Linked DNA regions of Diceros bicornis minor. The protein of the gene in region 2 interacts with the protein of the main gene of each other region in a biochemical or structural test. Links are inferred from orthologs where the notes say so. Each region holds a gene or a part of one and is shown on either strand. Other genes may lie near its edges.

Region 1 (7,367 bases), on a different chromosome or scaffold from region 2:
GGAGACAGAAGCAGAGACGAGCAGCAGTGACGTCTCAGAGCAGGTATAGCCTTGTAATAAGCTACCACTTACTAAATTCACCTACTTGAACAAATTTCTGCTTTTCATAACTAAATGACACATCTTCCTTTACCCTTAATGCTTTAAAAAGTTGTATTCAGGCACTTGTCTACTACCATCAGAAATATGTTGTAGGTAAAAATAAACCTCTGAGATTAAAAAAGAATACATGTAATGAAAATGCCTTGATCTCTTTGAAGGTTAGGTAATCTGTACATATGACTAAACTGTGTTCAAAAAACACTGAACGGAGGGGAAGCCAGTACTGGAACCACCATTTACGTCAGTATGGACCTATATAGACAGAAATGTCTCTAGAGACAAAACCAGGTTTGTAACACTGGAGGAGAAAGCTTGGGAGTAGGGCCTATGCCCACATTGGGAGAAAAGCAAACATTTCAAACAAAACAAAACCCTTTAAATACCCTCTCTCAGTATTTCACCTCCTCAGTTTTATAGTCTTTTTCATGTAGTCTGAAAAGCAATCATGTCATCGTGTCATCTTTGGAAATGACTGGCAAGACAGTTTTTGGAGAGCGAATTCTAGAAAACTGTTCCTCCACCTCCTCCCCAGCTTTGCTTCTGACTCTGCTGTTTGTAATAAAAAGCCAAGATGTTATTGTTGCCACTGTTACTCATTTGAACAGTCTCCAAAAAAAAAGGAACCTAAAAATCTCCTTTCAGAGTCTATTGTTTTCACAGAATTACCCAGCAACACTCAGATAGATACTTAGAATTACCTTGCCTCTTTTCCATGATCACCAATAACTCTGTCATCACGACCAAGATTTCTAGAAGAAATTCGACCCAGTTCCATCTCGATTTCCTTATTCAATCCTTCCAGCCCATGTGCCTGAAAGCGAACGCGATGACGAGAATAACCTGCAAGTTGCTCATCTGCACCAATTCCAGTAAGAACTACCTGTAAGGTTCAAAGAAATCCATATAAAAAAACATTCTCTATTACACAGTAAGGACAATAACTAAGATAAAAGCAAAGCTTAAAAAATCATAATCTCAGGGCTGGCCTAGTGGAACAGCGGTTAAGGGCGTGCGCTCTGCTTTGGGGGCCCGGGGTTCGCAGGTTCGGATACCGGGTGTGCACGGATGCACCGCTTGTCAAGCCATGCTGTGGCGGCGTCCCATATAAAGTAGAGGAAGATGGGCACGAATGTTAGCCCAGGGCTGATCTTCCTCAGCAAAAAGAGGAGGATTGGCATTGGATGTTAGCTCAGGGCTGACCTTCCTCACCAAAAAAAAAAAAAAAAAAAAAAAAAATCATAATCTCAAAGATAATATTTTCAGAGAAAAACTACAAGGCAAAGTCATAAAATAGTAAAATATGCCCAATTTTTAAAGTCATATATATTGTTATAGTTTAAATGCAACTAAAATATGCTATATTCTTATAACTTAAATGCTAAAAGCTTTAAAGGTTAAAATTAGGTCTCAGAAATTCTTCCAAGCAGAAATACTGTGCCATACCTTTGCATTGCTCTGATATGATTTCACTTCATCCTGGGTCACTAACCAACCAACTCCTCTAGAAGCGAACCAGACTGCACAGCCAATACTATCATCCAACACCGTATCCAAGGGCTGAACTAAGTGGCATATTTGAGTTGTTCTGAGTTTTTGCAGTTCTTCCAGAGAAACGTTAATTTCAACAAAATTCCAAATCCGGGAAGGGTTAGCAGCTTGCAGTTCCTTTAGTCCCGCTCTTCCTGTGATTCGATCCGGTACACTGAATTGTCTATCAGGACTATCAGCAGCAGCAGCAACACTTTTAGAGGATTCTTCAGAAGGTACTTCACAGTGATTTTTCTTCTTTCCACTTTTCTTGTTAAAACTATTTAGTGTGGGCTTTTCTTTAGTCATGAAAGCCACATTGAGAAGATCAATTGGTTCATCTAAAGGAATATGACGGTCAGCAAGGGTTGCAATAACCATGGAATCAATACCCCCAGAAAACAGGATGGCCACATTTGCTTTTCTATCACAAGTTTTTGAAACCTCACTTGGTGTCAGGTTTCCATCTCTAGGTAAACACAACACACGTCTCTTGACTGCCATACTCAGGACATTAATGAACTGCTGAACTACTTCCTTCGTGTGTCCATCGGTAAGAAAGACCTGAAGTGTCTCTCTTGTAGGTGGGATGCTGGAAATGTTACTGCAATGAATCTCAAACGGAGCTTGTGGCAACATCATGTTTAAAGGAACGACAGGTTCTTTAAGATAGAGTTTGGCTTCATTTGCTACCACTGACACGAATGTTGGCAAGTTTGCTGCAATTTGAGTCAGGCTATCAACACATTCTTTGGTAACATTCTCTCTAGAAAAATATTTCCAAGGATACACTTTTAAAACCACAGATTTGGAAATGGCAGTAGACTTGAGATCAATTCTGAAAATTCCAGATGCTGGAACTTCTTGCCACTGATTGGCCACTCCAGATGTTTGGGCACCAACTGAAGAGAGGCAGAAATTCTTGCCCAAATTACTAAAATGCCAAAGCAAGCTACGGCGACCAAAAAAATCCCTACCAAACCATAAACAATGACTAGATGCTTGATAATATATAAAAGACCAAGGACCTTGGACTTCTGAGAAGAGTGACAAAATATCAGATTCATTCTTACAAGAGGTAAGATAATCAAACATTATTTGAGTATCGTTTTCCTCAGCTTCAACCTTTATTCCACTAAACACTTCTCCATTCCACAGCAACACGTTGCCTCTTTCATCTTCCACAGGCTGGGCAGTCAACACACCTCTTAAGTGAAGGACATGACCAGAAAATAAACACTGGTAGTTAATATTAGACTTTAACAACTGTTTACTACTATCGGGTCCCCGTCGTTTAAGATTATACAGCAAATCCTCTTTCCAATCTTGGCTGAAATGCTCAACAGAAAAGCATACAGAACAACAAATGCCACACATTGTTCTGTGAAAACAAGTTGACTATTTCTTGATTTTGGTCTTCTCTGAGTTTTCTATTTCTTGGTATTCTTTTTTCAGCTCATCTAATATATCTGTGAGGGGAGGGGAGAAGAAATATTAAGTAAAATAAAAATTCTTGGACCTTTACCAAGTAATTCATAGGGCACCATAGGCTATTTACCAAGACCAAACCATTTGAGCATATGCACTGTGTTAGAGTAAATAATAATTTACAACAGGCTTCTAACGATGGATGTTTATCTTTTAGGAAAATAGTCTCCGTTTATTAAATGCTTCTGTTGGCCCTGGCGCAGGGCTATGCACTTTATATATACCATCTTATTTAAATGCCACAAGACTCTGGAAGCTCAAAGTAATTCACTCAAAGTCACAAAGGTAGAAAGTGGTAGAACAGTTTTTCATAACTAGATCTGTCTAAAACTCTAAAGCACATGTTAATTATTGCTTTCTAATGCATCTTATGTATTTTTAATTGATTTTTACTGTAGACTCATCTTTGGAAGGCTAATTTGAAGAAAACCAAATCACCGCATTAATTTTATTAACAGGTATACCACCGTCCAATCTTTAGCTATACAGTTAAACATTCAGATATAGATAGTATAATTCATGCACTACCATAAATTTCTACAGAAAGCCTACAAAAGACTTTCTGTGTGTTTCCAAATAACATCCCAAAGAAACTTACTTTTGCTTTCAGAAAGCATTTCTGTTCGGTCTGCAAGAAAGAATATGTTGCTGTTCTGTTGCTGCCTATATACTTTCTGCAAAACATAATTTAGGCTAATATCATGATTTGATCTAAAAAGTAGATGTCAAATCTCTGAACCCTATTATTGCTTATTCTTGAACTTTAGTAACATATACCTTAGCAAATACAAATAAACAAAAGTCACCCATTATCCTACCATCTAGAAACTGCTACCATTCACACTGAGGTGACACTTTTTCTCTGCATATACCACAATACCATTTCTCTTTAACAAAAAAGGCTACTGTAACTACAGACTTATAATTTGCTTTTATCCTGAACAATATATTGAGAACACTTTTTCTCAGTAGTAAGTGTTCTTTTACATTACTATATGAGTATAACATACTACAGTTTATTTGGTCGTCCTCAAGTTTTAGACATTTAAGTTGTCACCAACTTTTCACTATTATAAATCAATGTTGTGATGAACGTCTTTGTAACTAAATCTTTGTGCACTCCCATGATTCTTTCCTAAGTATTAATTCCTATAAATGGAACTGCTGGGTCAAAGTGTTACACAGTTTTAAGCTTCAATAAAGCAGTCTGCCAACTTGCCCTCTAGAAAGTTTGTATTAATTGTGCCTTAACTTCTAATATTCCACAAGTGACAGTATGAGAAATGTCTAACCTGTCAGTTATCAAATTATCTTTAAAATGCTGTAAAGGGCTCAAAATAATTTCTTCCTGAACTTTAAAATGTAATTTTTGATAGTATAACTACACATGAAGTAGTAGCTTGCTTGTTATGAATACATTAATGGAAATAGCATTAAATAACCATGTTAAATATTTGGAAGATCTGTGTAAAAATTTTTGGCAGGGAGGGGAAGCATTTATCTTTTTTGTTTTTCCAACAATTATCCACATTCACTTAGAAATAGTCTCCACTCTTCTCAACATAAAATTCACTTATTTCAAAAGAAAATACCACATTCAAGTATAAAATAAATAACATTACTGATTATAGCTCCAAGATACCACAGTACAATTTGTATCATTTGGTTCAAAGGTAATGTGAATTGCACATGATGGGGAAAAGATATCATCAACTATGATTAATCTATAGATATCTATATATGATATATATATAAAATCTTGGATGCTTTTCACTGTTGCAATTTAACTAAAAAGATGCTGAAATCTTGTAAATTTTAATATAAATATAAGTCATATATGATTCTTTTAACTTTTGTATATAGTTAATAAGATACAATCAAACCCTCCCACATACTATTCAGAATTACTCCAATAACTCACCCTGTTCTTCTTCAGGTTAGAAAGTTCATCCACAACAATTTTTTGTTCTTTAATCTATTGAAATAAAGAAAAACATCTTAAATCAGAGGTTCTCAAAGTATGCTCAATGAGGGTGCTTTAAAATTAGAGAGATGGGATAGGGGCCATAACGGGCAGTCTGTGACTATGCGGACTCTTGTCAACAGCAGTCTGGGGCGAGGAGGGGGAGACAGAGTTGGAGGAGGAAACAATGAGTAGACTTGCCAAGTGTTAGCCCATTGAGCCCAGCCAGGGAGTTTGGTGTTGGTAACCAGCATCCAGGCAAGGGCGGTAGTTACTAAACAAGGTTTATACCTTTTAGTTACACAATATGCACACAAAGTAATACCAGTTTTTCAATGATTTATGTTTTAGCTTTAAAAAAAGAAAAAAACCCAGCAAATGGAATGAGGGGTGAGTTACTCGCCCCCCCAATACCAATGGTTTTCATGATTTATGTATAAATGGTGCAGCCAGACATTCAGAACAAGCAAGTGGTACTAAATGCCCTACCTGGGGCAGTAAGACCTATCACTTTCCATCTTTGCTTTATTCCTCTTTATATCTCAAAGACTAACACAATGCTGGCACTGTTGAACTAGGCCTCGAAATAGGAGAGGGCTCCACTAAGTGGAAACAAAGTTTTTTTTCTAACTCTTTTCAGTAAAGGTAGTTATTCTGTGAACATGACTGATTACATAGTATCACTATTGCCTCTAAAAGCAGGTTTTATAAAATCTTTGTCCTACCTCAGGAACCTCAGGCATCTGTCATACATCAGTATAAGTGGCTTGCTCTGGTAGTAATCAGAGTGGGCTGTATGAGGTTTGAAAATTCACCCTTGGGGGGGGTTATTAGAGACTTGCCCAAGATGTCACTGTTAGTTTGGGACAGAACCAAAGTAGAATCTAGGACATCTAACACCTGAAAAGCTATAACCATCCCCATCTCCTATATATTTTTTAAAGGTTTTGTCTGTTTATGGCAGTTAAGATATATATTATATTGTCCCCACCTCCTGCCCCCTTTTTGGATGGAGGAGTGACAATCAAATCCGTGTTTTAGGATCATTGCTCTGGCTGATGTGGAGAAGAGAATGGAAGGTAATGATGGACGAAGCGAGACCAGTTAGGAAGCCTTTGCAGGGTAGATGAAGGTGGCTGGTGATAAACGGACATATTTGAAATGAGCTTCAGAAGCAGAACTGACAGGACTTCGCGATGGACGTCAAGGATGGTTCCCGGGTTACTGGCACGGACAACTGGATGGTTGGCGGTGACTTTTCTGAGATAGAGAACATCGGCGGCAGATCTGGGGTGGGCAGTATTTCTAAAAGTTTAAATAAAGAGAAAAAACCCCAACCAAATCTCCGCCTCACTGCCTCCTGGGTCTAATTTCGGTGCAAACTTCAGGGTCTGCCTTAATTGTAGCTGTCGAACGCTAAGAATAACAAGAGAGAAGCAGCTGGGCAAAGCCGAGAGCGGGCCACGCGGCCGCGGCAGACCTCCCCCGGGGCTGAGCGGCGCTCCGTCCCGAGCCTGCGGGCCGCTCGCCTCGTCCCACACTCACCTTGTTGCTAAGATCCTCTTTGTGAGGGGCTGAGTCGTCGGTAGGGACCAGCCCGGCGCCGTCCTCCGGGCGTGTGCCCCGGCTAGGCATCTCCACCGAGGGAACGGTACGCGGGACGCGCAGCGCAGCTGGCGCCCCAGGTGCCTCCCCAGGTGCCTCCAGCCTCCAGCCTCCAGCCCTCAGCCCCCAGCCTCCGCGCGTGCGCGCTCCCAGCGGCTCCACCCCCTCGTTTCCTTCCCTATGAGTCCTACCAATAGCTTCTGCGCACTCACTGGAACGCCTGCGCAGTCCGGGTTTGGCGTGGGAGCAGTTCCGCGCGTGCGCACAGATGCTTAGGGAGCGCGTGAGCAGAGCCTGGTTGTGAAATCGGAGAGGTTCCTGAACTGTCCGCTAGCGGATCGGCTGTGGAAACGGCCTTGTGGTCTCCACTCCCTCGCGTTCTGTAGACTGTGAGTTATATGCGCCCCCCAGTGGTCAATATAAAGAATAGAAGCGCAGTAGAACTAGACAATATTTATTATCTAGGCAAGGATGTGAAGCTAGGCACAGATTTAAGAGACACGTTTTTGGCAACAGAACTGTACAGACTTGGTGAAGTTTTTGTTAACTTGTTATTGGAGTTAAAAGATAAATACAGAATGCCCGGTTAAATATGAATTTCAGATAAATGAATGATTTTTTAGTATAAGTATGTCCCTTGCAATATTTTCAGAATCTCGCTCCAATGAGAAAAATTATCCAA
Region 2 (7,582 bases):
CTTCGCCTCAGAATATGAGACACTCTTTTGAATGGGGCCGATGCTTGCTTCTCTTAATAGCAGTGGATTTCTGAAAACTCAGGATGGGGATAAGGTAAGCCCAGGTGCTTCATGTCTAGGAGGCCCACAGGTCTTTCCCAGATGTCCTGCTTACAACACATGACAACGTGTTGTGAGAATGACATGTTAGACGTTTACAAAACTCACTTTTCAGTTGCTGCATCAATACTCACATAACTGCTTGATTTTATTTTTCTTTAAGTTTATTTTCAACTGCAGGGAGTCATCTTTTCTTCCTCTTTTTTGGGTGAGAGATATTTTTCACCTCTTTGCTAAGTCATTATTCATCAAATTGAAACCAAGGAGAAGAAGGGAAAAAAGGCACATAATGAAGGGCAGTGCCTGAAATAAAAATGACCTGCCTTTCATCCCCCTGATATTTTACAGTAAATATTGAAGCTGTGCAGGTGCCCAGTAGTTTATAGTCCAAACTACACTTGCTCCAGATCCCACCTGCCCCTTGTCACACAATCCAACACACACTTGAGTCAAAAAAACTTTTTTATGTTTACTTATATTAATCATAAGCCAAAGCAAATAGCTTGCCACTTTCTGGATCCAGGGTAGCAATTAAATATGAAGACATCGCAAATCCTCTAGACCAATAAGGGGGAGAAAATCCTCTGTATTCTAGGCCAGGAGGTGGGCCATCATGTACCAGACAGTTGCATCAGCTGTCATATGTAACAAAGCTGGTTTCCCAACTTTGAATTTTCTCAGTTTCACAGCCAGCACAACTGTTGAGCAGGAAATTGATTTAAGTCCTTAATTTAGGGACCTAAATCAACCACCAGTTTACAAGGGTCTCTGTCGAAACATTGTTTCAATGGCTATGGGTTCATTTATTCATTCACTCAGCATGCATGTCACTGAGCACCTAAGCTCAATGGAGAGGACCCATAAGCAAATAAAAGACCCCAGAACTCAGTCTACAGTTAGAGGGAAGATGAAATAATTACATGATATTAGTGCTGACAGAGTTTTGTACAAAGTGAGCTAAGGGGCAGAGAGACAGATATCAAGAGAGAAATACAGCTGCAGTGGAAAGAAGGCATTACCCACAACTTCCCCACTGACCTTCTCCGGAAATAACCACACATAACCACGAGAGGGTACAAACGATGCTACCTATTCTACTCACACGCAGTAATTAGGGGATTGGGGACATCAGATCTCAAGAGAGTAGTTTCTAAGATGCCTCACACACAGGGAAACTGTTTACAAATGCAAAGTTGTTTCCACACCACTCGGGAAGAATCCCCGGAAAACTCTGGCAGAGAAATCACTTCACCAGCCCTCCACCCAGCGCAACCTGGAATCCAGACTGACGGGCCTAAAACCTGGCAGCAGAAGTGAACGTCTGCATAAACTTCCCAGCCCGTGGCACAACTCCCCAGCCATCACCCCAGCTTCCAATCTGAAAGGAGGGAAGTCTTGAAGGGTGGTCGGAGCTTTAGCCTTCAAACACTGCCAGCGCTCTCCGGCCCCTTTATGTTTCAACCCTTTTAGTTGAGTTGCCCGGGCTTCTTTGGAGAAAATTATGCCAAAGCAGAAAACTATCCGAGTTGCGGTTACTCAGTGTGCTCGCTTCGTAACGTGGACGTCTACTCTTCATTTTCAGTTCCACTTCCCAGCCCCTACACGACACTTGGATTATCCGCGGATAAAAATGAGACAACGTGCACTAAGCATGCAAACCGTGCTTGGCACATAGGAGCTCAAGAATCCCTGCTCGCCTAGCCTTTTCATACACCCTACTGGATCAAAGCCAGTAACGACTCTAAGTGGGGACAAGTTGCCCCCAGGTGGGTAAAAGTTGTCAAAACTCCAGGCCGCCCCCACTCCCGGCCCCCTGGGGTGTGAGGCACGTGGGTGAGTGTGAGAGTGCGGCGGGAGGGCGAGAGGGTGTGTGCGCGCCCGGCGCGGCCCGCGCGGCATTAACCCCTTACCTTCCAGCAGCACTTCCTTGCCAGCGCGCTTCAGCGCCTGCACCGCCTCGTCGTGGGTGGCGTCCCGCAGGTCGGCTCCGTTCACCGACAGGATGGCGTCGCCCACGTACAGGGCTTGGGTCTGATCGGCCGCCAGCCCCTTGAAGATCTTGCTGATAAGGATGGGCATCTTGTTCTCCTTGCCCCCCTTGATGCTGATGCCCAGCCCGCCCAGCTCCTGCTTCAGCACCTTCACGCCACGCTTCTGGTTTGAGATGGACTCGGGCACCTGCTCCGGGAGGTCGGTGAAGGCGGTGCGGACCCCGGCGGGCGAGTCCGGGGGCTGCGCGCCGCCCGCGCCCGGGTGCCCGCTGCCGGCGCCCTTGCAGAACGAGCCATTGGTGGCGGTCCCGATGCCGTTGTACGCCGCAGCGCCCTCCTCGCAGCTCAAAACCAGGGCGTCCTCGCTCAAGTTCACCAGAACTTTGTGCCAGCGATCCCGCACCAAAACTTCCAGCAGCCCGCTCCGCTGCGCGCGGCCGCCTCCCCCGCCGACCGGCCCTGCCGCCGCCGCCGCCGCTACCGCCATCTTTCCGGCATTCTTAAAATGCCATGTGATTGCAAAAGGGGGGAAAAGTGGGGAAGGGTTGCGCGGGGAGGACGCGGGCCCTGGGGGAGCGAGGAGCGCGCGCCCCGCGGGCAGGAGGCAGGACGTGGGACTCCACTCCGGGAGTTCGCAGACGCGCTCGGCGCGAGTTGGCAGCCGCAGCCAAGCCGGTTCCCCCTCGCCTGATCCTGGGCGGGGTGGAGCAACCTAAAAGAAGAAGGAGAGACAGAAACAGGGGACGGGGAAAAAAAAAAAAGCCAGCTGCCAGTTGCAAAACCCCAAACCAAGGGGAGCCGCGGAAGAGCTAAGCGCCGGGGAGAGTCGGTAGGAGGAGGCACGTCGCGGGGAAGGGCGGGGACCCGCCACCCGGCGGCCGCTCACCTGTTCCAGCCGCCGCAGCCTCGGCTGTCACACGCCGCACGCCGCCCCAGACCCACCCCGCCTCCCTCCTCCGAGCGCACGGCGCTGCAGGGACAGCTTCCCAGCGCCTTCTCTCCACCCCGCCCCAGCCCTCTCGTCTCGACTCTCCCTTTTCCGCGGGCGCCCGCACCTCACCTTTGCCTGGTCTGTGTGTCCTGCCTTGATCCCCTCACTCGATGCTCCTGATCCCCCATCCCTTTCATACCCTCCACTGAATTGTCCCTCAGTCCTAACCCCCAACTGTATCTAGATCCAGGTCTCCTCACTACCAAGGCTTGGCTTCTCCCGCTGAGTTCTTACCTGTCTCTCCTTTCCGCGAGGACTCTCAGGTAGACGCAGACGGAGGCCCTGGGTTCTCTGAGAGTCAAGAGGGAAGGCTGTCCCAAGAACCCAGAATGAAACGTCAGCATAACCCGAGTGCCCGAAACTTCCTGTCTTCAAATGCAAGACATCTTTCTGCGGGGTCTCTGGAGAGGTGTCTCTGCTGGCCGGGGTATTCAGCAGCTCACTGCCTGGCCCACACCCCAGGGACAAATGTTCTTCCAGCTCCAACACATTATGTGCTCTATGCTTCTGACCTTTTTTCCCCAATGCCACACCAAATGCTTCCTGGGACTTTCTCTTTCTTCCCAAGATCTGATATAGGAAGTCCACTATTTAAGAACTCAGTTACATGGATTGTATCTCAAAAGTTCCTTTACAAGTTATGTATCGGGAGTTCAAGCTGCATTTTTCCAGGGCAACAATATTATAATCGTTGGTTACCTTCCCAGGCCAATCCGGAAATGCCAACCTAACCCATGTCATAGCTGAACCTCCCACGGTCCACCTGGTCCTTGAACCTCTCAATTTCTCCCCCCACCCTGAGCAGGTCTCATGGACCTCTCTAAGTGTTTCAGCCTTCTCATTTACCTCCCCTTTCCATCTCTCTCTTTCTTCTCTCCAAAAACAAAACAAAACAAAACTCACAAATCTTCGAATTCTTAGAGGTAAACCCAATCCAGCAAGGTGTCAGGAAGAAGGAAATCTTATTTGAACACATTCCCACTGATGTGTATCATCTCTGAGAGATCTCTAACCCTTCCAGAATGACTCACACTTTTAACTGAGAATGCTTAAAATGCAGACAAATCCCTAAAGGGTGGTTGGTGTTCCAGGTAGGGTCACAGAATAAAATGAAAATATTTGGACTTTTTTTTTTTTTGTCAAGGAAAAGTCACTGCTGGCAGGTCAGCAGGAACTCTTGGATTAATGCTTCTGCTTGTATCATCCTCCTTTCCTATATTTTTAACCCACTAGTTTTCCAAAAGCTCTTTGTTCTTTCACATAAAGTTACCCACGGCAGGGACAGCAGCCGCTGTGTGCAGGACTGGACAGGGAGCTGATACAGGTGGCACCACTGTGGGGTGGGAAAACCAGCTGGGACTGCCCTCTGCTTTAAGGACTGAGGACTCGGGCATATGGCTCATCAGGAAAATCAGAGCCTGAGTGTCTGCATTCTAACCCAAGCACACTAAGGTAGAGATAAGCACCAGAAAACCAGTGTGTTGATTTGGAAATCAAAACAGATCTGCCCCTGGGCCAAAATCCTCCATTCACATCATGCCTGCATCTTGCTTCTGTGGTCAAGCAATGTGGGAGGCCCAGGCATAACTGGAAGTAATTTATCGATTGGCCATGAGATATTGCAGGCTCTGGGATGCGGATTTCTCAGAATCTCTGTGATAAGCACATTTTTTCTGTGTAAGCAAACCTACACAAGAAGGAGTAGGTTGCTTGTTGAAAATGACATCAGAAGGAGGAGAAACAAATATTTAACATCATTAGGCCCGAGGCATGCATGCTAGCCAGAGATGACTTTGCCAATGAAATTATAATAAAGCCCCTATTCTAAGTGCTATACATATATTAACTTAATTCCTCCAGCAATTCTTGGGGATACTTACTGTTATCATCAGTCCCATCTCACAGGTGAAAAAATAGAGATACAGGTTTAATAACTTGCCCTGGTCATGTAGCTAGTGAATGGAAGAGTCGAGATTTGACGCCAGTTTTGAAGAGTTTGGACTTTTAACTATTGTCCTACACTCTCCTGAACATACTCAGAACCTATAAGCTAAAGTGTTCATCTTACACCGAGGCCAGCCTTTCCACTGGGAGGGAAGCCCAGAGAGTGAAGACCCTTCCCCTAGACGGCACTAGAAGTGTAGAGCCAGCCCTTGCCTCTGGCCTCTCCTTCTTTCCAAGGTTAGAGAACACTCTGCTCTCCCCTAATGGACACAATTTTTTTCTTTAGACACATTAATATGTTTAAACAGGTGACTGTTGTGGTCTTGCTGGCCTAGAGACCCTGTCTTATCCCTCAGAGAACTCCGCATATCTGACCTCTGATTGGTAACGCTGACTCTCAGAGGTAAACCTTACTTACCTCCTTTCTTAGTTCTTGGTGGGAATTGGGACTACTGCACTATAGCCCCTTAACACTTACAATAGGACAGATCATATTTTCCTAGGGCTCTCCTTTTAAAGAATGGTCACTGGAAAGGACCAAAAAGACTTGCAGCTTCCTCATTTTATAAGTGTGGCATTTCAAACCCAGAGTAGAGCAATGACGAACCCAAGGCCACATAGTGAGTTTGTGGCAAAGTTCTCAACTGGGTCATGGTGACTACCAGTCCAATTTCAGTATTCTAGCCTTTCCACCTGAAGGGGCCCTTACTTTTTTTTTTTTTTTTTTTAACCACATTTCTTTTGCTTAGCTCTGTCTCTGGTTCTGTTTCCTCCTTCTGTCCTACACTTTTGACTTCCGTTTCCTACTCAGCCAAAACTGGGATCCTCCTGTGTGTGCCCCTTTCCTGTGGGAGGTGCATTTCCCTACAGAGGTTTGGGTGGACTTAAAACTACAAGAGCCGATCACACAGTTCTCAGCTCCACAGAGCTGAGGATACGTGAGTGAGCCGCCACATGCGACAGAAGGGGCAGTGTCCATCCATTCATTCCACAGCTTTGTTGTGCACCTACCGTGTCTCAGGCACTGTTCTAGGTGCTGGGGTATGGGAGCGGACAAACTGGCAAAAATGTGCTCTGTGATGCTTCCATTGTAATGGATGGTAGGTTGAGGTGGAGAAAAACTGTGAACATAAGATACTTTGTGGAGAAGTAAGTACTAGGAAGAAAATAAAACAGAGTCATAGGGTCAAGAGTAACTAGGGGCAAGGGACATCTGGAGGTGGCAGCTGTTAAGGAAAGCCTCTGTGAGAAGGTAAATTTTGGGCTGAGACATGGATGATAAGAAGATGAGAGTCTTGCAAAGATCTAGGGAAGAGGGTTCCAGGAAGAAGGAAGAGCCAGTGCAAAGCACTTAAGAGAGGACCAAGCTTGTCTAGTTCAAGGGACCAAAAAGGGGTCGCCGTGGCTGGGGCAGCCCATGGGAGGCAGAGAGAGGTAGGAGGGGAGATCAGAGAGATAGGCTGGACCAAATCACAAGGCGCAGCCGTGGAGGATTACAACACAGACCATTCTCCTTGTCCTCTTTGAGCTTCAACAACCATACATTTTGGATTGTCAGGGGCAGTCTTGTTTCAATATTACTTCCTATTAGCTACTGAGTAAACTTCTACTGGTTAGAACACATGCTCCAATATTTAGATTTGGAAAATATGAGGATTGTATTTTTGGTACTGTTCCCTAAAGAGTAGGTTGAGCATCTTTAGGGGGATTAGTCCATATACAAGATGGAGAGTGGATACAAGGGCAATAGTGAAGAAGAGAAAAATGGAAAGCTCCTTGATATCTGGGGGAGAATGAGAGAACAGAAGAAGAGAGGAGCAAGAGGGGGGCTTGAAATGCAAAACTCCTAAGATGAGGCATACCTATGTGAATATGTATTGACTAAACGCTTATTGAGTAGCTACTCTTCTAAGTAACTGAGGCAGGTGCTGGGGGCAGGCCCATCCAAAGATGCAAAGGTAATTAAGACAGGAAGACAGATATGTACACAAAGAGCACATGGCGACAATGTGGCGGCTGCAATGCTGAGCGTGAAATGCGTGGAGGTAGCCAGCCTTTAATTGCAAATCATAATGTTGGGTTAGCGATTCTGATTTGAAAGATGAAGCCCTGAGACAGGAGGATGGCACAGGAACAGAGGCTGAGCAGCTGCTTCTCTGGGGTTTCCCACTTGGCTAACAGGTGCATCATCAATTTTAAGTGGGTTTGCAAACAACTTCTATTGCAAGTACGTGGCATTTGCCTGGGCGGATCCTTGGTAAAGTAGGTAGACTACCACCCAGACTATCAGCCATCCAGTCAGTCGGGTGAGAGTTCTTTGAGTGCTCACTGTGCTTAGAATGTTGTAGTGGGGAGCAGGACTAGCCCAAGGCAGAATTTAAAGTACTTAGATGTTTATCTTCCACCTTCTCTTATAGAGTTCCACTTCTTTTACTTCCCTTCCATAACTACTGTTGTTGAAACAAACCTTACACCAGTCTTTTAGTATCTATGATATAAATTTAAGTGACTTTTCCTAAGGGATTATGCATTTGATCCTTTTTTAAAACTGTACAGT
Region 3 (7,967 bases), on a different chromosome or scaffold from region 2:
TACAATCAGTTGTTCAGAACTATCACATCTCGGGCACTGCACTGGGAACAGGGAACAAGACAAAGCCCCTGCCCTCATCCAGCTTCATGCCAGGCAAAAGCTGTACTACCGAGTGGTTAAAGCCAGAAAGTCGGCCTGAGTGTCTGCCTGCCCCAGCTCAGCCACTCTCCAGTTGTGCAATCTGGGCAAATTACTTAATTCTCTGTGAGTAAATCCCTCTTCTGCAAATGTGGATATCGACAGATATCGACAGACCTACCTCACAGGGTTGTTAGGGGAATAAAAGGAGTTAATACACAGAAAGTTGCAGCACAGGGCCTGGAGCGCCGTGAGCATTATAGAGATGTGGTTACAGTTACTGCACTCTTGGTCTTCTTGGAGTGAGTGGATTATAGTCTGTCCAAAGTGTAGAAGAAACGGCAGCACAGTTTATTCTCTCAAAAAATGGAAATCAATTTATTGGCAAAGATGATCTTCAGGGAAAGGGTGTCCTCCCCTCATGGCAGGAAGAAAATCCTCCATGGGCAAAAGAACCAGGCTGAATGCACAGGTTTCTGAGACAAGGTACTCTTCTCAAATTTGCCTTTTAACAGATCTTGCGAACATTCTTATAACTGCTACATCCCCTTCTAGTTATTTGTGACATATGTCTCTTCCATTGAGAAACTGACTGAAAGCAAGTAGGAAAAGAAGATTAACCTGGATGACTAGATGTGAATTTTTTGAGAGCAGAATTCCAACCTCATTCATCTTGGTAACCACAGAGCAATGGCTGGAATGATTTTAAGAGTTCAAAAATAGCTAGTCTATATTTTAGGTGCTTTCCATATACTTTATTCTCATGATAGCACTTCAGGGTAGATACCACCAATCCCTTTTCATGGATAAGAAAAACTGAATATGAGATTGTTAATTACTCAACCTTTTTACTTTAACCTAATTACTCAACAAAAGTGCAGAAGTGATCTTGAAATCTAGGTCTAACTCTAACATTAATTACCTTTTTCCATTTGAATGTCTCAAAAAATGTCTGGTGAATGAATATAGAAGTAAAAGCAAAGACAGACTTTCTTTTATTTCAGATCCGAAATCCAGGAATATGACTCTGCGTTACAGATACCTCGTTAGCTCACTTTGCCCTCCTGAAGGGAAGGAGAGCTCAAGACCAAAAATATAAGTCAGATATTATAAAAGAGTAAACGCATGTCTAGGAATAAACTGAGCATTTATCAGAAGATGTACTAACTTGGACATCTGGAAACGGATGTTAAAATTTCAGATCACTTGCCATTATTAAAACACCCCCTGGGGGAAAAAGCAGTAGGTAATTGCAAACTGTTGATGTGATTTTTGCAAAAAAGTTTCTGACTTGATGAGTTGTTACATAACACAGTGAGTTGCTTAACGTAATCATCTTTCCCTTTGACTGAGATCATTGGGTCTCCACTCACTTAGATTGTTTGAAATGCAGTGTGCTCAGAAGCAGAAAGTGGGGTTAGGATTGCTTCACCGGGGCTAAATCAGGGTCACCCTGTTCAACCTTTATCCACTCTCTGCAGCCACCACCCAGCTCTTCTTTTTCAGCCACACTCTCCCAAATGCACATTTAGTACTTGGGTTCCACCGACACAGCACATTCAAGCGAATGTGTCTGCTGCAAGTCTGCAGCCCTGTTGAGCTCCCAGTCTGCGTTGAGCCATAAAGCATAGGGTGCCAGGAAAGAGCATCTGGGGCCCACTGTCCTCCCGGACGGTCTTTTTCACATCACCCCCATGACTGCCCACGATTTTATGACTCTGCTGCGCCTCTTATTGGACCCCGGGAGGGAGGAGGACACGAAATACTAGCTTTTTCTACTACCACCAGCCCTCCTTCACTTAACTCAGCCCACTCAGTACTACTTCTCCAGTAAGGGGAGGCGGAGTCACTTGCCGAGAAACCGCTCCTCATTTCCTCTCCTCTGGGGTGTGCGTGTGTAATTTTAATATCCCTGGAGTAGACCACAAATTTCCCTTGCCAGCCCTACCAGGAAAATGGCCTTGGTCACGACCGCCCTTGCCAAGGCAGTCAGCAAGCCCTTTCGCGGAAGTCAGGGAGAAAAGAGAGTGGAGAGAGCAGCCACAGAGCAGCATCCGCTGAGCGGGGGCCGAGCGCACGTGAGCCGCCTCGCCAGCCTGCCGCGCTACCTGACCGGGCGGCCCCAGCGCGGGAGCCCAGAATGAACCCGGGAGGCGCAGGCCCTCCTCGGCCCCTGTCCACTCACGCTCCCCTCTGCCCGGGCGCAGGCCTCGCCCGCACACATCTTTCCATCTGTCTCCGTCCCCGCCATGCTACCTAGGGACTGAAAAAAAACGAAGACGACCCCCGTAGTATGTCTTCCTTTCCTCCCCGTCTCTCCGCGCCCCGACCATCTGCTAAAAGAGAAGATGCTCCCTACACACGCTCTCACCACCACGCCCCGTCCCCACCTCCTGCGGCAACGAGGCCACCCCTGGGTGCTCGCGGGCCCGGGGCGGGATGCTGGCGAGCAGCGCACTCGTGCGCCAGGGAGAGGCGGGAGCCCCGCGCGCAGAGTGTTGCTGCAGAAGCCCAGAGCGCGGGCACCTCCTTGCCGAACGCACGTGGCGGCGCGGGGCGCTCCCCGCCGGGACCCTCGGGGGCCCCCCGCCGCCGCTGTCCGCGCGCCGGTGACGCGCGCTCTGCTGCGGCGGCAGCTCGGGGGTTTTTGTCTATATAAGGGCTCGCTGGCGCGCCGGCCCCAGGCTGGCCCGTGTTGTTACACGCGCGTGGGGCGGCTCGGGTGGCAGACGCGCGCTCGCCGGGCCCTCCGCCGGCGCCTCCCGCGCCCCCGGGGAGACCGACTTTACCTGGTCCCCGGCACGGGGCGGGCGCTGCGGGTCTCCGTTCCCAACTGGCTGCAGCCGGTGCGCCGCGCCGTCACCGGGTGAATGGAATTATTTATTTATTTATGTCCCCTGACGTGTCCTCGCCCGCCGCAACCGGAGGAGGAGGCGGCGGCGGGGCGGGGAGGCGCGGCTGGCGAGCGCCCTTGTGGGTGCCCGGGCGCCGGGGGGGGGCTCGAGCGGGGCGGGGCGGGGGCGGGGGCGGCGGCCGCGGCTTTGCGGGAGCCCGGCGCCCGCGGGGGCGGGGGCGCGGGGGACAGCCGCCGCCCAGGGACTCCGGGCGGACTGAGCATGCTCCGAGCGACTGTCAACGCTGGAGACACTGGCTCTGTGGCTCGGGGCACTCCACTTCGGGTTTTAGTTTTGAGCAAGACGGAAAGCCGAAAGTCGGGGGGAGAGAGCGGTCGCGACACGCCGCATCCGAAGCGCTTTGGCGCTTAACCCGGGAGCCAGGTGTGCAGCAGCTCTGTTTAGACACCCCAGGGAGGTCTGCGACCTCTGGGAGAGGGAAGCAGGCGAAAGGAGAGGGGCCCGGCAGAGTGCAGGGAGATCAGCAGATTCTCATTGTGAGCTTGGAGGGAACGTGTCGGGCCATTTCTCAATTGAGGCGGTTTTGAGGGGCCAGGGAGAGGGGGGATGGCAGTGTTGGAGATGGGATTCACCAACCAAATCATTCTAAGGGAAAAATAAAATTTACATCGTGAGAGGGGGAGTATAGAAAATAGCACAAGAAGACCTTGAAAATAGGAAAGAAATGAAAGTCATTTGTAAATGATTCCTTTCATTTTTAGTTTCTCAAATTATTTACTTCTTCAAAATGGGGTTTAGTTATTTCACAATGAGCAGTGCTAGGGATAATGGTAGTTCTACAGTCATTGATTTGGTTTCTTCTACCTTTATTTTTTTTCTTCTCTGTCCAGAACATGTTTCTTGGGGAAGTTGGAAAGAGGAAGGCCTGAGAATGAATTTTTAGGCTAAGTTCCTTTGATGTCTTGAAGTTTAATTACTACTTAGAGAAAAAGAAACAGTCCAGAAGAATAATCCTGGGCTTGGATTTGAGAATTGATATTGCAGGTTTTTTGTCATTTTAACTGAATCCCCCCCCCCAATTTCTGCTCCTAAAAAAGTGAAAAAGGTAAAATGTGATGTTAATCCTATATAATAATATAACTTCCTAAAAGCTTTTCATGTTTATTCTACAACTTAAATCATTTACAAGAAGCCAAGATAATTTAGTTGAAATAACTGGAGTTTTGATGTCCAAGGGACAAAGAATCATGGTAATAATAGTAATAATAATAATTATACTTATTTATTAAATGTTTATCATTGTCAGGCACTGTTCTAAGTACTTAATATGGATTATCTCAATTAATACAATGACTCTATTAAATTATTCACGATTTACGAATTTGGAAATGGACAAGTTAATCACTTGGCTAAATAATCTGTAACCTTGGACAAAACTTAAATTTTAGTTTCTGCAGCCACAAACTCAAAATAATATGAACTTTTTACTGCTGTCATAACATTTAGGTGAGATGATATAGTGAGGTGGATGGTAGATAATATGAGATGAATAAACAGTGACTATTATTAGTGACTTGAAAAAGTTTGGAAGACAATTTTACAGAGAGGGGTAGTTTGAAAACTAAGAAACAAAGGCAGAACATTCTAGAAAGGACTTTAGACTTTTTTAAAGCTAAAAATGTGTAAATTGACATTTGAATAAGATATAATAGGCATTTGATAATGATGGAATATCTAGCAGTGACTATAAACACTGCATTTACATTACAAAAAGAATGTTGAATTTTAAAAAGAAACAATATTAAGACACACATTTCAAGGTCATGTTCTTAAGTGTTTGCTATTGATAGTTTTCCTGCTCATTCATCACTTTTACTTCCTTTCAAAGAAGAGAAGGAAGAAGAAAGACCATGTATTTCCTGAATTTTGACCCTATTCTCCCTTTTGCTTCTCTTTGATTGTTCTTTTTTGTCCTGTATTTTTTACAGCCTCATGTTCAAGGCCTATTTAACCCATTGCCATACTCCTCAACATTACTACCCATAGCATTATGTCATAACCATGGCAAGTTTTCTTTTTAAATCTTGTTTTTCCAACAGTAAAACTCTGAATCCAATTTACCTACTGCCCCAGTGTTAGTATTTGGGGATTCATTTCTAAATTGCCTTGTTGCTATGGCCAGGCATACCATATAAATATTTGGTTAGATTAGAAAGAAATCTGAAAGGAGAATTAGATGGGAATAAGTCCAGTCAATTTTTCCTATAACTTATAGTCTTAATATTGTTCAGAAATACAATTTAGGGAAAAAGGAAACTGTATGATTAGAACTTGAAATGCTTTGGGTAAAATTTTGCCTAGGTTTCTATTCATAAGGTGAAATAACAATGGGAGAAACAAAGAATAGCAATATACTCAATATTCTAGCAACTCACATTCCGCAAATGAGTAAACAACTGAACACATCAATAACATACAAACAAATAAAGCCCAAACTTTACACCCACAGCCTCATATTCCGGGTTCTCTGGACCTCCATTCCTCCACCATGCCATATCTTCTCATATTTTTCTGTCTTTTCTCATTCCTCATCCTCTTTTCCATATCAAACTTATCTAAACCTTTTTTCCTTTTAGGCCCAGCAAATGTATCATCACCTCTGTAGCATTTCAAAAATTCCTTCAGTAAGAATTAATTCCATCTCCTTCTGTGGTCTTTCCCATAGACCATGGTGTATGCCTCTATTGGGGGCATTTTCTTTCTGCTTCACAGTATGGCTATGTTATTTTTTTTCTGTCTCCCTACCTTTTAGGGTGTTGGAGGGTAGAGATGTCATTTTATTCATCTCTGTAATCTTCCAGCATCCAGCACAAATTCTTGCAGATATAAGATAATCAATAACGTTTGCCAAATGGAGGAAAGAGATGATTGCATGACTTTAGGCAACGGATATGTAGTAGAGGCTGTTGGTGCTCACAAGATCCATGATCTGCATGACGCTATGTTTCCTGGCTTCTCTTACAGTTATATTGGGGCCGTATGACTAGTTCTAATTACTAGAGTATGAATGAAAGTGACATATGTCCTTTCTGGGCAAAGCGAGTTAAGAGTCAGTGTGCCTCTTTCCTTCTCGCCTTTCCCTGCTCTAATAGCCTCATGTTTCAGACAGAGTAGCTATAAAATGGAGTCGCTAAAAGATACAGAAAGTCTGCTTCACGTGCGCTGGCCTTTGTGTGAGCAAGAAACCATTATTGTGTTGAGCCATTGAGATTTCGGCTTTATTTGTCGTGAGAACATAGCCTAGCTTATTCTGACCAATACAAGATGTTATTTAATAAGAGTATAAATCATAATGGCATAAAGACCCAATGAAACATTGAGCTTATGAGAATGCTATAATGTGTTCTTAAGTCAAGGCTAAAATATATATTCTTACAATCCAAAATTGATATATAACAGACTTTTCATGGCAAGACTGTGAAATTAAAGTAGGGCTGTGTGTGTTGTGTGTGTAAACTACACACAATAGATTGGTTTTAACTAAGGACAAAAGATCAAATGTCCCAATATTCTCCTCAGGCTGAGTGAAAACAGACGTGCACCTGCCATCCAGTGGCAGCATACTGTGACTGAGATTGAAGCTGGCTGGCAGCTGTGAATATGATTGCTCTGACCTGGTTTAATAGAAAGTACAAAATATGAAAGGCATCTTTCCACTGCTTGTAGATTTACATCTTGAGTACATCCATATAGGCTACTTTGGAAATGTCTGCTATGGAAGCCTCCTGTAGCATTGTGGAGAATGCAAACCTAGTCTCATTTTACAAAGAATAAAAAAGGAAAACCATGTTGGACGTTGCTGTATGGTGAGCCTTTCAATAACTATACAATAGCCCAGAGAGTTCTTATGTCAAAATAAATGACTTTTGGGGCTCCAAAAATCTCTCAATGGATTTCTGCATTTAAACTCCTGTCCACTGGTATTTTTCTAATTTTACATTTTATTTAATGTTATCCATAAAGTAAGCTTAATGGATTCTAATTATAAGTGTCTTATAGATGCCTTCATCTGAATTTTCTAATTTTTCTGAAAACATATCAAATTAGAAAATGGGATTAAAAGTTTTCATAATCAACTGTAAATTTTTGTGGCAGGAATCTTGTAAATAGTGGCTTATAAGTATTTAATATTTAATGAATTTTATTAAATGAATCAGTGATGACTGAATATGGCCAAGGAACCTAGGTTTCAGTGTGTTTTCCTATACATTTGATCTAAGGTGGGTCGCTTAACTTTCTAAAACTTGATGGTACTTGCAAGCACTTCAAGGGTACAAATATCCACAGAGATTATGCATAATCTTAACAAAGGAAGAAAATATTTATATATGGTGGAGTTTTTTCCCCTAATTAACCAAAAATAAATGTTTACTTATCATATTTTGGACAGCAGTGTTGATCAGGATGCTTTATAAAATGCAACCATAAAGTTACCTGCTTAACTTGTAACTTTGTATACCTTGCCACGTGCCTGCAATGTCCTTGAAGGGTTAGTCATTGTTTGCATTTACATAATGCGTCATCGGTCACAAGAGACTTTCAGGCTAAAATACTCTCGACTACCTCCTTTCAGGAAGCTAGGTTTTCAGCTGTTCTTACTTTGTTTCTTTGGCTAAAGTTAAGGCCATATTGACCTTTTGTTTTCCATTCATGAGCTCTTTTTCTGCTTTCCATCTGCCACGAGTTGACCCAAACTGCATATTTGTTATATGCTGTTTTGCTATATAATGGTTTCTTAATGTTAGTTAATTCTTCTGGGATTTTGTTGATTGTGACCTTGAATTATCACTTCTTATAAATTTTTTCCCAAGCAATATCTATATGAGATCTGTTACGTGAAATCTGATGGAAGTTTCAAATCCATGCCTTTGGATGGACTGTGCCTCTGCTCTTTAGCCCTGTGCTTTGGGCGAGCAATGTAGGTGATCACCTAAGATTTATTGATTTTGTGTTTTTTGCCCTTGGTCCACCAGA
Region 4 (7,743 bases), on a different chromosome or scaffold from region 2:
TTTCTTCAGATAAATATGCAACTGCAAAGGAGTTCTGACTAGTGCTTGGTCTTACAGAAAATATTTATGTGGGTTCAAGCTCATAATCTCATTAGTGTTTATCAGCACTAATTCACTGAATTGAAAGAATGGTTAGTAATTAAGAATGTAAGTCAGATTGTAGTGGCACTCGCAAAGAATCTCAGCAAGAATCTTTTTAAATTTAAAGGAAACATTTCCTTTAAATCAATATATTGATATATTATGTATTTAAGAATTTCCATGTGTTGATTTGCATAAAATGAGGTACACTTGTATATATACTACAATTTTCCTGCTTTAACACTAACACAGGAGGAAAACATAACTCTGCAAATGGCTCCTGACTGCTACTGTTTAAGACAAGAACTACCAATTTACCCCCAGATGAGCCTCGGAGAGCTTAATTGGAGTTATTATCTACCACTAAATCATCTTTAAGGTACTCTTCCTTACCCATTTGGCAAATGGGGACATGCTGGACTGCTCTGATCAAGCCTTTAGGTTGTTTTTCCAACTACAGTGGTCCCAGGTAATTGGGAGGGAAAAACATAGCTTATTCTCTGTTAAATAAAAGTTAGCTTTTGTAGAGCATTTTCTAATTTATTAAGTGCTTTTCACCCTATTTTATTCAATCTTGCCGACAAGTCTGTGAGGCACAGATTCTACGCTATCCTCCTTATTTCATCGATGAGGAACCCGAGGCTCACAAAGGCTAAATGAATTGCCAGGAATCACAAACAATAGCTGCCCAAGCCAGAACTGAAGTCTAGATATTATGACTGCAATGTCAGGGCCTTTTTATACAACTTGCTGAGAAGGGGGAAAGCACCACTCCCAAGGTGGAAGATATTAAAATACCTTTGTTATACTCAAAGTTAACAGCACATTTCTTTTTAAGCCATCTTAACCAGATTCAACAACATTTATTGGAGGGATTACCACCTGATTGCCTTACTTCACCCTTCCTGAACTTGGGAAATTTCTATTTCCCCCTATAGACCATTTCACCATCAGAAGATTGGACTAAATCTATATATATAATGTTAGTCAGATGGCATGCCATCTTAAACCAGATTCTCCCAGGATTTTAGTTACTTCTATATTCTTATAAAGAAATGTGAACCCCTGAATCTATCTCCCTACTTTCTTCCCTCAGTGGATTCCTTATCAGTTTAAATAATTAACTGCCTACGGCCTATTGGATGAGTTTCTACAATGTTGGCAGGCCACGTGCTAGACCTGCAGAGGGGTTTATATGTCCCATTAGATGACTTAATTTAACTGACTGGCTAACTGTGCACAACTATGGCTTTCAATATCCCGGGACGAGTGTCTGCCATTAGCTCACATCTGACCATGGTGTTGGCACACGTGTGTGACCACGGATTGTTACACATGCAGGAACTATGGAGGGGTATGTCATTTCATTGCTTTTCCCAACTGATTTCCAACTATGACCCAACTTATTTCATTATTCCCATGTCTTTAAAAATTCTTTTTCTCCCTAAAATGTTAAAAAGGAAAGCAAGAATGAACAGACCAAAGGAGAATGAATTCTGTAAACATCCAAAGATACTCCCAAGTAGGCAAAAAGCGTTGGTGGGCTAAATTATTTTGAGTCTGGGTTTCCTACCTTGCCTTACTTTTTTTTAGTCCTGTCTCAGTTTTTGTATTTAATTACTACACTGTTTTAAACATTTCAGTTCTCACTCTGTATTCCATACTACACATACCATAATAAACACTGGCTATGATCCTAACTTAGACTTGATTTAAAATAGAAGTACTTAAGAATCTGAGCAAGGGAAAAAAGCATACTAACACTCACAAGGCACATTCTTTCCTCACACCTTCCTCAGCTTATTGCCCTGGGGAGTAAATTGTATGGTAAAATAACCAGTTTATTATTTGCTGTTTTCTTTTACTCTGCTGAGAAAAATCTCCATCGCTGGCAAACTGATAGAAAATTTAAAAATGGAAGCCAGTATCTGGTATGTATGTTTGGTGAACATGTTTAATATATGATATTCATGTGATCTATATTTCTTTTTTTTTTTCAGCTGGAATCAACAGAAATGTAATGAGTGAGCTTTTTAAACTGGATGGGATAAGCAGAAATACCCTAAGAAAAGCAAGAATGATTCTTGCTCTCCCCTCCCTCTAAAAGTACAAATCATCACCTGACAACTAACTGAAAATATTTTTTTATTTTTTTAAGGGAAAAGCAGATTTTTTTTTTATTGATGTTTTAATGGTTTCTAACATTGTGAAATTTTGGGTTGTACATTTTTGTTTGTCTAGAAAAGCAGATTTTTTAAAAGCATTAAAATGCATTTTCTGAACCTATGCTCAGCGAATACTTTACATATTTAGCTTAGAAAATGTTTAAATTTTCTTCTGACAGAAGGTCTTAATGGATCCTCTTTTTTTTCCCTCACCCATGAATTTTTATTACTGTGTTTTTGGCCTTGTCTTCTATAAAATGTACCATTTTCACTTACAGCTTAAGACAGCTTTGATGGTCTTAGTATGACATACTGTATGTAATGTTAGCTGTTTAAAGCTGTAGATCAGATTGTGCATAATAACATATGTAGTTTGGAGTATACAAAGAGTACAGGAAGAAGGGGAGACGGCCATTCTGTGTACAAATTTCAGATTGCTAGCCATGTGCCTGTTTAGAATGTTAAACACTCCTAACTAGGCAGTGATGAAGCTACTTTAGTGACTGTGACTTCTGAAACTACAAAGACACAAATTTTTCAACTAAAAATAATTTAAAGATGATGCTGGTAATTACCATATTTAGTTTAGGTGATTTTCTATTTGCTACTTAGGGAGCTTTGAGGATGGATGGAAAAAAATTAATTTCATTGTCTTCAAAGCCCAGTTTAACTCAGCAATTTCATCAAAAACTTGGAGAATATAGCCAGACAGAAGAAGGTGATATAAATTGTAAATTTCATCCATTACACATTTCACCCTTATAAAGAAGTCTGAGGCAGGGAAGTGTACCAGTCTATTTCCCTAGGATTATTTCTTTTATATCTTAATATTTCAGATTAGTCAGACTACTGTGGGGGTTTTTTCTTTTGTTTGTGTCATCTTTTTCATCATTAAGGTTGCTGTCTTTTTCATCTGTTGTTGAAAGACTGGTAACTTGCATGTATTTCATTTCAAAAGAAATTAAATAAAACATATTACCATATTTTTCAGCAATGAGATATTTCAAAGTGAAGAGAGAAGTCAATAGCTTTGCTGGTTTAATAACTTTATGTTTCATTTTAAATATTCATATCCTGCTTTGTTTCAGAAAGATTTCAAGGCTGTTGATATGTTTATTGCTCAAATATCAGCACAGTAATAATCAGACCTTTGAAACTATGGGTGAAAAATCCAGCAAATTTCAGTCATCTTTTATTTATGTAGAGAGATTGTGTGGCATTTTGCTTCCTGTCTCTTTTCATAAGAACTTTAAATATGGACACACTTCTCTCTGGGTATCTTTATAGTATTGGGAAACTCTGCATGAGGTTGAAGTTTTTATGGGAGAACTTGTTTAAAACAGTTGTCTTTAGAGGCGGGTTAGCCACAGCAAGGTTAGGGGTTGCCAATAAATCCGTTTATAGCAACTTCTGTATTCTCTGCTCCAGACACACCATTGGGGTGACCCCGGCACAATTCTCGCAGGCCGCACAAGGCAGCAGTCCGAGTTGATCCTTCTGTGACCAAGGCTGGTCTAAAGGGCTTCTGGTGTGGAGTGGCTGAGCCTCCCAGCCTGAATTGGCTGCCTGGGATTCCTGGCGGGTGCTGGCATACCCAGGACTCTTGAATCTGTAGGCCCTATCTCGGCTTTCGCTCTGCTGGGGAACAACAAAACATTTTGGGAACTCGGGAATTTAATTTACTGCTACCAACCGAAACAATAATAGCATCTTTGTGTCCCCCTCCCGCCCCATACCTCCCTCCTCCTGCCAATAGAAGCAAGACGTTGGCCCTCCGTGGATGGAGCACAGACAACACAGGGCCAGCCCAGAGCGGTCGGAGGAGGCTGCAGACACCGGGCCCCGGGGACGCCCGGGCAATCACCGGTCCCGGAACGTCCCTAATTCGCTTTCGGGAAAGAAAATTAACAGGAGGCGAGATGTCCCGTACAACTTTCATCTCTCTTAGCTCATTCTTGCCCTAGAAAGTGAGTGTGTTTGTGTGTGTGTGTATGTAGCTAAGTGAGGCAGAGAGAATTCGAGAAAGCCACACAAGTCACCCTAAAGCATCCACCAAAACTTCAGCTTGGTTAATTGCTCCCATATGTCCTCCTCGGCTGTTTTCAAAACGCAGCAAGGAGGGCAGGCCGGGTCACTTCACTGATTTTTAAGGAGATTGAAAAAAAGACTATCACCTATCATGACCCAGTCCCGGAGGGGGCCAGGCGCAGCCTCGGGAGACTAGCCCCCTTGAGGGAAGCCGGGGAGCCGGCCCAGAGATGTGGGGCGGGGAGGCGCTGCGCCCGCGCCCCGCGGAAAGTTCGCGCGCCGCGCCCCAGCGGGTCCCGAGAGCCGACGCAGCCCGGGGCGGGGAGGGGCGGCCCGGTCGGGCGCGCGAGAGGAAGGTGCCTTCGGGAACACGCGCAAGGGCGGGGATTCGCGCTGCCAATGAGGCCCGGGTGTGGGCCGTGCGAGGCGGGGGGACGGGCCGGAGCGCAGCTTTCGCTGTGGCAGCTGCCGGAGCAGCGGCCGCCTCGGGAGCCGGAGGAGAGGCAGCCGCAGAGCGCCGAGCTGGCCGTGCCCGGAGGCCCGGCCCTGGGGGTGGGGAACCGCGCCGAGGAGCTGGAAACTTTCCCGGCAGGTAACTCCCGCCGCCCTGGCGCAGCCGCGAGCCTCCGTGCGTCCCGGGCAGGGCCAGCTGCAGCGGTGCAGAGGGGAGGAGAGGGTCCCAGGGAGGAGGAGAGGGTGATGGGGAGAGTGGAAAGGCATGTGGGAAAGTTTCTGGAGCCTCCCTCCCCGCCTTCGCTGGGCACACCCGGGAGCTTTCCGGGGATAGGCACGGACATGTTGGGCGCCCTGGGCCTTGGTCCCGGCGGCTCTGGAGAATCAGCGCCTTCCCTTCGCCGTCCCCTTCGCTACGGACCGAGCGGGTCTCCGGCGGAGCTGGGGTTCGGGGACACCGGGAACGCGCAGCGGCACGCTCGAGTTTCGGGATAGCCTCTGCCCGGCGCACCTCCTCGCCCCTTTTCCCGCTTTCTCTGTAGCTCTCTGGCTTAGCAAGGGCCTGGGCTGCGCCTGGCACCTGGAGCGGGGGAGGCGGGGGAGAGGCGCGCCTGGTACCGGGGGACCGGGGCGCCCCCGGAGTGAAGGGGAGCGCGGGTCGCGAAGTTGCCGAGTGAAATTAAGCCGGAGGGAGGGGTGCCGTATTGCCCCATTCTGGGCTGAAAGTCTGTTGCTTCGCTTCCAAGCACACTGCGATTAGCTTATCCACGTTCTTTTGGGGGGGGGTGAGCTAGGATTAGACATTGAGGGGGAGCTGAGAAAGACAAGAATTGTATCAAGACTATGAATCCCCTTGTTCTTGGAGAGTGGAGGGGGTCACTTTTGGGGGACTTATGTCAGGGCGCACGTTCTTCATGGAAGATTTTGGGGTGCGGACACGCAGCGCTGGGGGCGTGTGAGGCTCCTGGCTTTGGCCCGGCAGCTTTCCGGAACGGCTGGCGCGGAAGGAAGCCCTAGGCATTGTGTGGCATGTTTGCGCACAGAAACGTCTCTGGACCGGCGTTCTCAAAACTTATTTGACTTATTGTGTAAAGCTCCGGGAGGAAATGCGGCAGAGGCCAGGTAGAAATACGGCGCCGCATCCAGGGGTTCGGAGGACGCCGAGCTGGGCGACAGTCTTCCTCTCACAAACGCCTCCAGCCCACTCTTAGCAGCCTCAGATCCCGGTGCCTCGTGGGATGGGACTCGTCTCGGTAGCGCTGTTTCCTGCTGGAGTCAACTCGAGGAGGTTAGGAGGGCAGCTTCATCTTGAACTTGACCCTCGAAGCAGCGCCGTGTGGGCGGGTTACAAGGTAAAGGGAAGTTGAGTCTACTCAACGCGGGATGGGCCTCGAACTCTGGCACGGAAAGGAAGTGCCTGGTTCAGAATCCTTGAGGAAAGGGCTTAGGACTGCTGAGGTCGCTAACTCTGGAACTGCCAGACCACCAGACTGCAGAAGTTAATGTGTTTGGAGGGTGTGGGGATGGGAGAGGAAAGGAGAAACCTGGTGTGGTGGTGCAGACAGTTGGTATTTCTCTGTAGTGGAAGTGAAGGGAGTCTGCATTTCTGCCTTCACCGGATCCGCTACTCTCTCTCTCTTTTTTTTTCCTTCCTGGGTCATCTTGATTCCTGCCAGGCTGGCACTCCTGGGATGGGAGAGGGGAAGGAGAAGAAAGCCGTTGTGGAGCGTCTCTGGCCAGCTTGGAGGTCTTTCAGATCTGCTGCTAGGAAGATTCCTGGATTTTAACAGCTGCTTCTTGATTGCTGAGAATGAAAGAATTTATGAGCGACTGAGAGATGTTCATTATAGTGGTAGTCTGAATGTTGTACTCATCTAAGCTACTTAAAGATCTCAAGGGACCTTCCCTTAGAGTATGGCAGTTTCTGCAAAGTTTGTGTCAGCCAGAATGCTTGGTGGGTGTCAGTCAGAACTCATCGTAAATATATCCTGGCGGTATGAAGATGAAAAGTATGCCGGAGTAAAGGAAATATGGTATCTAACATCCTTCAGGACTTCCTCCTAGGGTTGCTCCTGTTACCTGCCAAGTGAACTCGGTCCAGCCTTCCGGACTGTTGTGATTTGACAATAAGGGATGGGAAATAGTGTCATCGATTTTACTGGAGGCAGGAAAGTCCAGAAATAAATTTAAGGTCAGTTTTCATGACCCTTTCTTTCAGCTGTGATGCCACAGACTTAACTTTTGCTGGGACTTGGAGGCAGTGGTTTTCCTGCTTTCTTGGTTTAACCACCAGAATGTCCAGATTATCATAATTTATGTCCGTTGTGAAACTAAAACGTAACTGATTCAGTCAGCCTTTTTCTGCTTCCCATAACAGCCTGTAGGGAAAAGAACATTTTGTCTCTTTAACCACACGCAATTTATTTGGTGCCATAGTGGGTTTTTGATACTGGGTGATTGAGGGCACAATTTTAAGGACAATGAAATTGTCTCAATTAAATTATCCATTTTTAGGCAACATCTCCCTCCGAGTTGCCGATTAATTCTTTATCTCCCAGGGAACATTAAAACCAGTATCCCTGGGTTGGTAGAACTGTAATCCATATTATAATGATGCCTGCCAGCATAGCTGGAGGTTGATGTTATGTTGAAGTTTCCATTAGACATTTCTAACCCCATTGTAAAGGTTTTGTCTGGGTTGGGTTGAAAGTAGGCTGTCTCAGTCAGAGAAATGGCTTTATTTTTATATTTCTGATGAAAAGTTTAGGTTAAGTTGTAAGTTACAGGAGTAAAGTTTACAAAAACAAAGGAGATGGGTAGGTAGATAGGTAGGTAGATATGTATGTATATTGCTAGGGAGGGATTTGTTTTAGTCCCTAGGATAGCTTTGTTTTGAACTAACTTTTAAACGCATATTTCAGTGATGGGAAAACTAGAACCTCCCCCCAACCTCCCATAAGTACGAATGTGTTTCTGTACAAGGCTTTTAAGGCTTTCTGGGCCTTGGTTTTCTTGT

The links. The genes of interacting proteins can lie anywhere in the genome.
Region 1: the proteins of SNTB1 (region 2) and ASNSD1 interact in a test that uses a peptide from one of them, tested with the Homo sapiens proteins (2 studies listed by IntAct, with this or other methods). The link is inferred for Diceros bicornis minor from reciprocal best matches to the Homo sapiens genes SNTB1 and ASNSD1.
Region 3: the proteins of SNTB1 (region 2) and SLC16A7 interact in a test that uses a peptide from one of them, tested with the Homo sapiens proteins (2 studies listed by IntAct, with this or other methods). The link is inferred for Diceros bicornis minor from reciprocal best matches to the Homo sapiens genes SNTB1 and SLC16A7.
Region 4: the proteins of SNTB1 (region 2) and TANC1 interact in a test that uses a peptide from one of them, tested with the Homo sapiens proteins (2 studies listed by IntAct, with this or other methods). The link is inferred for Diceros bicornis minor from reciprocal best matches to the Homo sapiens genes SNTB1 and TANC1.

The regions. Positions count from the first base shown.
Region 1 is NC_080749.1:68,668,139-68,675,505, reverse strand, and holds the start of ASNSD1 (asparagine synthetase domain-containing protein 1), read right to left. Parts: upstream 3,007-7,367; coding exon 1,546-3,006; intron 983-1,545; coding exon 801-982; intron 1-800. Other genes in the region: ASDURF (ASNSD1 upstream open reading frame protein), read right to left, coding at 3,028-3,098, 3,716-3,791, 5,039-5,092, 6,626-6,715.
Region 2 is NC_080760.1:36,701,953-36,709,534, forward strand, and holds the start of SNTB1 (beta-1-syntrophin), read right to left. Parts: upstream 3,010-7,582; 5' UTR 2,977-3,009; intron 2,803-2,976; 5' UTR 2,578-2,802; coding exon 2,010-2,577; intron 1-2,009. UniProt on the Homo sapiens protein: Adapter protein that binds to and probably organizes the subcellular localization of a variety of membrane proteins. May link various receptors to the actin cytoskeleton and the dystrophin glycoprotein complex.
Region 3 is NC_080756.1:9,737,100-9,745,066, forward strand, and holds the start of SLC16A7 (monocarboxylate transporter 2), read right to left. Parts: upstream 3,007-7,967; 5' UTR 2,868-3,006; intron 1-2,867. UniProt on the Homo sapiens protein: Proton-coupled monocarboxylate symporter. Catalyzes the rapid transport across the plasma membrane of monocarboxylates such as L-lactate, pyruvate and ketone bodies, acetoacetate, beta-hydroxybutyrate and acetate.
Region 4 is NC_080749.1:41,661,465-41,669,207, forward strand, and holds the start of TANC1 (protein TANC1), read left to right. Parts: upstream 1-4,737; 5' UTR 4,738-4,866; intron 4,867-5,545; exon of another isoform or gene 5,546-6,015; intron 6,016-6,053; exon of another isoform or gene 6,054-6,079; intron 6,080-7,743. UniProt on the Homo sapiens protein: May be a scaffold component in the postsynaptic density.